Callithrix jacchus: one gene and its partner. The protein of the gene in region 1 interacts with the protein of each later gene in a pairwise test. Links are inferred from orthologs where the notes say so. Each region holds a gene or a part of one and is shown on either strand. Other genes may lie near its edges.

Region 1 (4,259 bases):
CAGCTTGTTTGGCGTCTTCATGGAGCCTGTTATTTGCTGTAGGTCTAAGAAAGGGAAAGCTTCAGGCTTCAGGCATCTGTACTTCCTATCTGTTCTCAGTTCCATGGAAATTCTTGAGGGATGGGGCTATAGATAAGAGAGTGGGAAACAGAGATCAAGATCTCTAATGAAAAGCAGGGTGGTTTGATTTTTAAGCTCCCCTGATACTTTTTATTTATATATTTGCTGCTTCTAGAAAAACCAAAAACGGAAAGTAATTCATACATAGAATGCCTGTACAAATAGCAAACCAATAACCTACTACCCCCAGGAGATTCTGGCCCTTGCCAGGGTGCAGTTTCATAGCTGTAAAAGGCAAGGGATATGTACATTGAAATGACCCAGTCCCAGAATATTTAGATTCAGAAAAGGTCAGAGATGCTCATAACTAGCAATGGCCTCAGGACTGGGGAGCCTGAATGCAGAGTGTGGACAAGGAAGAGGCCTAAAGCTAGGTCTACTATAGAATAAACAGAATCATTTAAGGTTAATAATGTTCTGATGTGTCCTTAAATTCTCTCAGGCTTGAGACAATTTCTAGCCCTTTAGGATCAAATCAGTGGCTTTGGACAAGAATCTGCTTAATAAGAATGAACTCCAAAGGTGAAAAACCCACAAAATCTAAAAATCAAAGGATAAGGGTTTATAAATGTGAAATTTTAGTTTGGCTCAATGATGGTCAGTTTGGAAATGTGGGAAGAACCAGAGAGATGGCATAACTGGGGCTGGAGCCAGGGTGGTGATTGGTGATTATACACCCACAACTACCTAACCGCAGGGGCTACCAGTTACTTCCTGATCACACTACTTTCTAATTGTGGACCATGAGTGGCAGAGTGCTGCAGGAGGAAGCTTTTTGCTGAAAGCAACATTGAGTTTCCTTTTATTTCTAGAGAAAGTCCTGTCTGTAGAGGAGCATTGGGGGGCAATGGAAAAAACGCTGCCTTCTTGTTTAAAAAAAAAAAAAAAATTTTTTTCCGTAAGCGCCCCTCCGATGGTCTGTTCACTTCGCAGGCCAGCTGTCCCCGGCCTCTGCCAGGGCGGGAAGAGGAGTGCTTCAGTGCGTGGCTTCGGATGAGCCCTTTAAATCCAGCTTCCCCTGCCCCCACCACGCGGCTCCCTCTCCCTGACAGGTGTTTTCCCAACTCCGGAGGCCCTAGGATTTTGGGGAGTGGCTGAGCCAATAAGATTTCCCTTTTGGGGGGGGGGAAGGGCGTGGCTAGTTGGGTCAGAGCATGGGCGGGGTTTGAGCGGCTGAGCAGAGCCTGCCTGGTTGCTTGGAGGGTTGTTTTATTCCCACCGCCCCCCACCTTTTTTTTTTTTTTTTTTTCTGGAGTCTTATTAATTTCTCTGTGGGGCTGCAGCTGGAGACCGCGGAGCGTTGGAAATGACGCTCAGAGCTTTAATTACTGCAGCCGCCGGACAAGTGTGAGGAAAGCTGACAGGAAAAAGAAGAACGGGATCCGGGGAGAAGCGAGAACCTCCCCCCGCCCCGCTCCCCTCCCGATTTGGACTGAAGGTGCACGGAAACTGAAGAAGCAGCCCAACATAGCCCTGCTGTGGGGAGAGGCCGGAAACCTACCGCCTCTTTGCAATCAACTTTTTTTGGAAACCTTTCTCCCCCTCTTCCTTTTTTATTGTTGACCAACCAGTGAGAGAGAGAGAGAGAGAGAAAGTGAGAAGGGAGCGAGCAAGTGAAGGCTCACGCGGGGAAATAGCTGCACAGTCCGGCCCGGAGCGCCACGCGCACACAGGCGCTCACACTCGAACGCACACTCGCCCCCTCCTCGGGCCCCGGCCCTGGACCTGCCGGCGTGGACTCTGTCGCCCGCCCTGGGAGTTGCTACACCGCGCGCGCCGCGCCCGCCCCCCTCGCGCCCCCACGCGCGCCCGGCTGTGGGATCTCCTCCGCGTGCCCGAAAGGGGGATATGCCATTTGGACATGTAACTGTCAGCACGGGATCTGAGACTTCCAAAAAATGAAGCCGGCGACAGGACTTTGGGTCTGGGTGAGCCTTCTCGTGGTGGCAGGGACCGTCCAGCCCAGCGCTTCTCAGTCAGGTGGGTTCCTTCTGGCGCTCCGGTTGCCAAACCTGCCGCCGCCGGAGGGGCTGCCTCGAGTGGCTCCCCTGCCCTCTTCACCCATCCCGGGAGGCGTGCAGGGACCGCTTGACCGGGGGCTCTCGGTCGCCCCTCTTTCCACTCGAAACTTACCCTGTATGTGTGCGCGAGCTTTGTTTACCGCAAAAATCATTCTCAGCCCCTGTCCCTTTTTTTTCTCTCCGTAACCCCCTATGTTTCTCTCCCGAGCATTTTGTGTGGAGCCTAAGCGGGATCCCTTATGGTGGCGCCTGTTGTTCGGGACATGGGAGACGGAAATCCCCAGTCAGAGGAGACTCTCCTGTCCCACTCTGGGCTCTCGAGGGAAGAAGCCGCTCCACCGGGGCCGCGGAAGGGCTGGAGTCCCAGGGCGGTGTTGGCTGGGCCTCTCCCGAACCCAGCCTGAAGGGAGGTGGAGAGTGGCGCTCCGAGAGTCGGGCTGCGCACCTGTGTGTGCTGCCGGCGGCCTCTGCGCCCCAGTCACCCGAGCCTTGTAGGGTCAGACGCGACTAGCGCCCAGCCGGGGCAGCCGAAGTGCAGCGGGCTGGCCCTCTTCGGCCCGGGGACCGGAGCGCCGGGCCTCCTCTGCCAGCTTCCCGGAGCCCTTGCCCCAATGACTTCAGGGGCGCTTGCTGGCCTGCCTGACCTTGAAAAAAGAAAAAGAAAAAAGGGGGAAAAAAAGGGTTGGCACACTCGAGCCAGAAGCCCGGCCTTCCCGTCGGTTGCCGTGTTTGGCTCCGGGAAGAGTTCTTCCTGTAGTTCTACTTGCTGTTGGCCGGAGTCCTTCAAACTTGTCTGTTTACTGCCCCGCGGTGCTGCCCAGCCTGCGGGTCACCGGATCCACCCCAGGCGCGAGCAGCGGCGGCGGCGGTGCTGGGTGCACGGCCACTGCTTGCTAGAGAGCTCGAACCCCAGGTACCTGGGCAGGCAAAGGGCTCATTGACCCCGAGAGACAGCGCGGCGGGGCTGGCGCACCACGGCGTGCAGGACTAATGACAGCACCTGCAGTGCAAGGGAGCTCAAAGTTTCTGACACTTGAGTTTCTTGGGATGAAAGTGGGACAGGAGAGGTCTGAGGAGGACCGCTGTCTGACGCGGCCAAGGGGTGGCTTTTGGAGAGCCAGGGAGATTTCCGAAACCATCCGGGGCTGGTGACTGGAGCGTGGGAGGTAGCTCGAGGTGATAAAGCCCCCGGGAGTGGCGATAGGGAGAGCTTTAGGCCCCTGTAGGGTATCCTGACCTCACCAAGAAAACAGCAAGCTGTAGTTTTCCCGCTCCGCCCCCGCCGCCGCCGCCACCTCCTCCTCCTTTGCCTAGTAAATAACAAGTTACAATCATCGAGCCTTTCAAAATGACCTTCGAATGGCACATGTGCGGCGTTTGTGCTGGCGGTTTGCACCCTCCCAATTACTCCGAAATTCTTCATGCATACCAGGTCCCGCGCTCCAGCCACCTCCGGAATCATACCAACACGGACTTGACATTCCAAGCGGCCTCTTAGATACATCTCTTTTTATCTCCCTCCCCACTTCGAGTCCCTTCATATTTCCCCTCAATGGGTTGATTATGCACATTGACCCATTCAAAGGCAGTGGCGACCGACATGCAGGCTTAACCGAGAGGAATTTCTACGAGGCGACCTACTGGGGACTGTCTGGTTCAGCCTCTGCCATTGGGGGACCCCGCTCCGAGTCCGCAGCAATTTGGTATTAACTGTGCGGCTCCGGGTTGAGCTATGCCGAAAAGCCCTTTTCAGAATTTCAGCAAGGAATGTAATCCAAATTAGTTCTGCAGCTGTCCTCTTCCTCGGCTCAGGCGACACCAGCTAGCGTCTCGCTCCTCTCTTCTCGTTTCCCTGGGCGAATTGTCAGACCCACAAGTGAGCCCATTTAGAGCGCGAGGATTAGCGTGCCATTGTTGTTCCATGTGTGACTCTGTACTTGAAATTCTGGGGGCACAAAGGCGAGTCTCACTTGTTCAAAACACAAAGTGATCCAGATGAAAGGGCCGCACAAAGAAAAGCTCTCGGGTGCATCCCTGGTATAATTGCAACACGCATACTAAGGTGATCCAGTGGAAACTGTAAATGCCCCGGGAGACTTCTTTTTTCATCCGCTCCCA
Region 2 (4,322 bases), on another chromosome or scaffold:
CGGCAGTGGGTACCGCCGGAGGGAGCGCAGCGCCTGGCGGGGCAGGGGTAGGGTAACTGGTCAGGGCAGGCCTGACCTGGCCAGCAGCTGTTCCCATCGGTCCGCGCAAAGACCCACCTTCTGAAACACGAAGCGCGTGCGGCGTCCGCTGCGGGTCGCCTCGTCCCGCCACTCGGTCAGCCAGCGAACGAAGAGCGGGTTGGGACAGGCAGGCAGCGGGCGCTTCCGACCCAGGCGGACTGGCGCAGCCATGAGCCCGAAGGCGGGTCCTCCGGCGGGACTGGGACGCCGCCAGTTCCGGAGTCGGGATTCGAACACCTGGTCGGGGGCGGGGCGGCAGAAGAGGGAAGCTGAGGGCAGGACCGCTGAGATCACGGGCCCCCTTACGCAAGGGGCACTAACGAGAGAACCTGCGCTGCTCTAAGTGGTTGGTGCGCGGCGCTGTCTCTAACAATATTTCGCCTCGGCCCCGCTCCGGCCAGGACCAGCCTTTGGGACGCACCCCGCCCCAGTCCCCGGAACCTGGACCTGCTCCTTCCAGTCACCTCAGATTCGAGAGCGGGGTCATCTTTGTGTAGGTTAGAGGAAAACGGACAGCGCCCCCTGTGACGGGGGAGGACTGGCTGGGCGGTGCTTAACGGCCCAACATGAACTTGGCCGCTCTAAGGTCTCTAAGATTGTCAGTTTCCGCCTCAAGTTTGAAGAGGAGGCTGGAGATGGAGACTGGGCTTGAGGAAGAGTCCCGAAGAGGCAGGGGCCGGGAAACAAACGGGTGCAAACATACTGGTGGGAGGGACACCCAGAAAGGAGCGCCGGGGATGAGGCCACAAAGGTAAGGCAGGAGGAGCTGCAGCATCCCTGGAGGAAATGGTGGCCCTCATCCCCAGGATACAGGGCAAAGAGTGTGGTGGGGAGAAAGTCGGGGACGTGCCGAGAAGGCCCAAAATAGGACCTGGGGGGTTGGGGGCCAGAGGCCTAGTGGAAGAACTGTAAATTAAGAGGTGCCTGGGCACCTTGGCAGTTGGGGAGACCTGAGGTGGGCACGTGGTTGGGTTCGGGGGCGGGTGGAGCAGGCCGCGGGTTAAGACGACCAAACACAGGTAGACGGCAGAACACTTCGTCGTTTTTGTGGCCAATCGGATGTGGGAGACCCTCAAGGAGGTTGCAAATGGAAACCCTACAAAGGGTTTCAACCTCACTCCTGAAGGACTAGTATAGCTGAGTTGGACACAGGCTACTTGCCAGGGATTGAAGCAACACCCGGCCTCTAGTTGTTATGCCGGAAGTCGCGAGACGCAGGTCTCTAGCCTGCGAGGAAGAGAGGTGGGCGCCAGAGCTCGAGGCCCGCCCCTCCGGACTCCGCCAGCCGGCTCCGGCTCCCACCTCCCTACCGGCGCGGCCTTATAAGGAGCCTGAAGCCGGCTGTCGGGCTGGCCCCGCCCCCCTCGAGTCTCTTGTCCTAATAAGGACATCTAGGGCATCTCGCGGCTAGGGGCGGGCAGGAGCGCGTCTCCAGGGAAACTGCGAAGCCCCGTCCCCCTCCTCGTTGCTCTTGGAAACTCTAAGACTCAAAAAAGGTGGCGCTAGCCTCGTCTTCAGGCAGGGGCACTCGCGGGAGGCGGGGGTCAAGCTGCAGCCTTCACCTGGAGCGCTGCGAGCCCGGAGTGGAGAGCGGTGCTGTGGAACGTCCCCGACTACAACCCCCGGCATGCTCTGCAAGGTACCCCACTTCCAAGCATCGCTCTCCGTTTACAACCTTAATTCCGTTTACGGGTTTAAGGCCCCCAGGTCCATTTCTGGGTTTGACTCTTACTTGTTTGCGACACAGTCTTCTCTTCCTGGGCGTGAGGCTGTGGCACTGTTATAGGACAACAAAATCATCCCGGAGTCCCCCGCTCGTTTCTTTTTTTTAAGGAATATACTACCACAGAACTTGTCTCAGTTTTTACAGGTGTTGGAAGAGCCATATGCCTGGCTATAAACTCGAGAGCTGGGTTCAAGTCTGGTTTAATATCTGTTCCTTTTCACTGGCACGTAAAAGGCACGTAACGAGGCCTTGAATGTACAATTCATTCCTCGTCTTTACCCTTTATCGCCTCATGACTTTGCCAAACATCTTTAAAGAAGAACAAAGCTCTCAGAGATTTCCTTGCAGCCTTTCCCCTGTGCCTTTTTCTCCTATTTTTATTTTACTGACGTTGCACATGGCCTTTTATCAGAAGACGAAAGTGGCTTTGCACATGCAGAGTACTAGTGTTTGTCGGCCTGACAACGTCTTCATACTTGTGATTTTCTTTGCTTTAGGACGGGATTCAATTCAGAAAAGCAAAACCCTAACTTTACTCAAAAATTTCAGAACAAGGAAGCCAGATAATATCAGATGGGTCTTAAGAAAGCCGTGTTGCTTCGGGATAAAAAGCCGCTTAATCCGGGATCGTTTTCGGGTCATTTTACTGAGCGCCGCCTCGCAGGACTCAGAGCAGTTCCTGTTAAATTGGACCAATAGGCTCGCGCTGCGCGCTGCGGCCCTGCCCGCGGCCCGGGCCTACATTTCCCCGCATGCACTGCGGCGCGGGGCCGACCCGCGGGAAGACTCCGTTACCCAGCGAGCGCGGCGGCGGAGCAGGGCCGCCGGACTCCATTTCCCGTCGGCCCGCGGAGGGAGCACCGGAAGCCCGCCCCGCCCCTCATTGTGCGGCTCCTACTAAACGGAAGGGGCCGGGAGAGGCCGCGTTCAGTCGGGTCCCGGCAGCGGCTGCAGCACTCTCTTCTTCTGTGGCTTTCCGTGCCCTCTTCTTTTCGCTTCCGGAAACATGGTGAGCGGCAGGCCACGGCGCCCGAGGGAGGAGGCTGCGGGTCGGTCGCCTGCGCTCGGGAGGCGGCGGGGGAGCGATGTCCGGCACCCCCTCCCCCAGCGCCCCGGGCGGGATGAGGGTCTCGCACGGAGGAGCGGGCAGTACCGGAATGCGCGTGCGCGCCCGGGGGCGCCGGGGAGGGCCGGCCTGGACGTCGCTCGCGCGCTCCCTGGGCTCCTCTCCCCTCCCCCACCCGCTGGTGTGCCCGCGCTGATGGACAGCGGCCGCGGGGGGAGGGGTCTGGGTCGCGCGCCGGCGCGCCCCTCGCTGAACGGCCTGCGTCGTGCGTTGTTTCTTAGGGGCGCGCTCTCGACTGGAGCACGCGGCGTCCAAACCCGGCCCGGGGGCGGTGAGGGAAAAGCGCGCGAGAGGTCTCTGCGCGCGCGCCCCACCCAAGGCTGTTCTTGTCTCCGCGTCACCCTCCCTCGGCAGCCGGGTCCGTCTCGGTAGCAGGTGGCAGAGATGCCTGCGCCGGGGAGGGGCGAGCGCTGTCGCGGCGAGGGGGGATGCTGGGACAACAGAGTTCTGGTTGGGGCATGGGTGTCTGCGATTAGGGCCTTGCACCGCAAGGCTTGGAGGGGGCATCCCAGAGACCGTGGCCGGCTCTGGAGCGCACCCCATCGAGCTGCGTTCTCACCCTTGCATCGTGCGAGGGCTGGAACGGCGCTGTCCGTCGGCGCGTGCGCGCACTCTCAGGCCCGGCCGCCGGTGTCGAAGCTCTGGGCGAGCGGGGCCTTCCCGGATGGGCCTGAGGGTGGAGCCGAGTTTAGGGAAGTGACCCAGGCGGGCACCGCCCGGAAACCATCCCGCCCCCTGCATACGGCCATAGGGCTGAGAAAACCGAAGGTTATGTAGCTTGCCCAGGCTCCTGCCTGCAGCAGATGGGTCTGATATGCCCGTTGGTTAAGGCGATTCCACAGGGTTAGGGACCTGGAGGTGCTGCTGCCTTTAGGGTACGCGTTTCTCTACTGGGGAGGGGGCCGCCGAGCCTAGCTGATCTCCTTTCCCCGCCCACTCCGGAAGCGGTTGGGTCACGTGGCCAGTTTATCTGCAGTTCCGGGGAGTTCGAGGGAGCAGATTTACCGTGGTCAGTCCCTCCGTCTCCTGTCTCGGGCACCCCGAAGCACCGTGCAGAGTAGGAGTTTAAAGAGCTCTCGAGGCCTCTGGGCACTTGAGTTTGGCATGTCAGTTTCTACCAGCAACTTCTGGGGCCCATTCCCAGAAGAAAGTTGTCAGGCAGGGTCTTTAGTGGGGGTTGTGATTCTTGTTTTGGTTGAAAAAGACCCTCGCAGGGAACAGGCGTCGTTTGTGTAATAACTGCGTTAAGCAGTTCTGGTGGATTTGTTGGAACTGTTCAATGCCCTTGGGTCCGATTTAGCATTGTGGGGTCTCGGCTCTTTCTGAAGAGGAGTCTTGCTTCGGGTGTTTGGGTCCTTCTATCTGCGAAGTTCGACGTCACCACTTTTA

The links.
Region 2: the proteins of ERBB4 (region 1) and CFL1 interact in a protein complementation assay, tested with the Homo sapiens proteins (2 studies listed by BioGRID and IntAct, with this or other methods). The link is inferred for Callithrix jacchus from reciprocal best matches to the Homo sapiens genes ERBB4 and CFL1.

Annotation. Positions count from the first base shown.
Region 1 is NC_133507.1:134,244,856-134,249,114, reverse strand, and holds the start of ERBB4 (receptor tyrosine-protein kinase erbB-4), read left to right. Parts: upstream 1-1,405; 5' UTR 1,406-2,018; coding exon 2,019-2,100; intron 2,101-4,259. UniProt on the Homo sapiens protein: Tyrosine-protein kinase that plays an essential role as cell surface receptor for neuregulins and EGF family members and regulates development of the heart, the central nervous system and the mammary gland, gene transcription, cell proliferation, differentiation, migration and apoptosis.
Region 2 is NC_133511.1:122,933,870-122,938,191, reverse strand, and holds the start of CFL1 (cofilin-1), read left to right. Parts: upstream 1-1,464; 5' UTR 1,465-1,708; coding exon 1,709-1,720; intron 1,721-1,991; exon of another isoform or gene 1,992-2,813; coding exon of another isoform or gene 2,814-2,816; exon of another isoform or gene 2,817-4,322. Other genes in the region: structure-specific endonuclease subunit MUS81, read right to left, coding at 1-33, 118-252.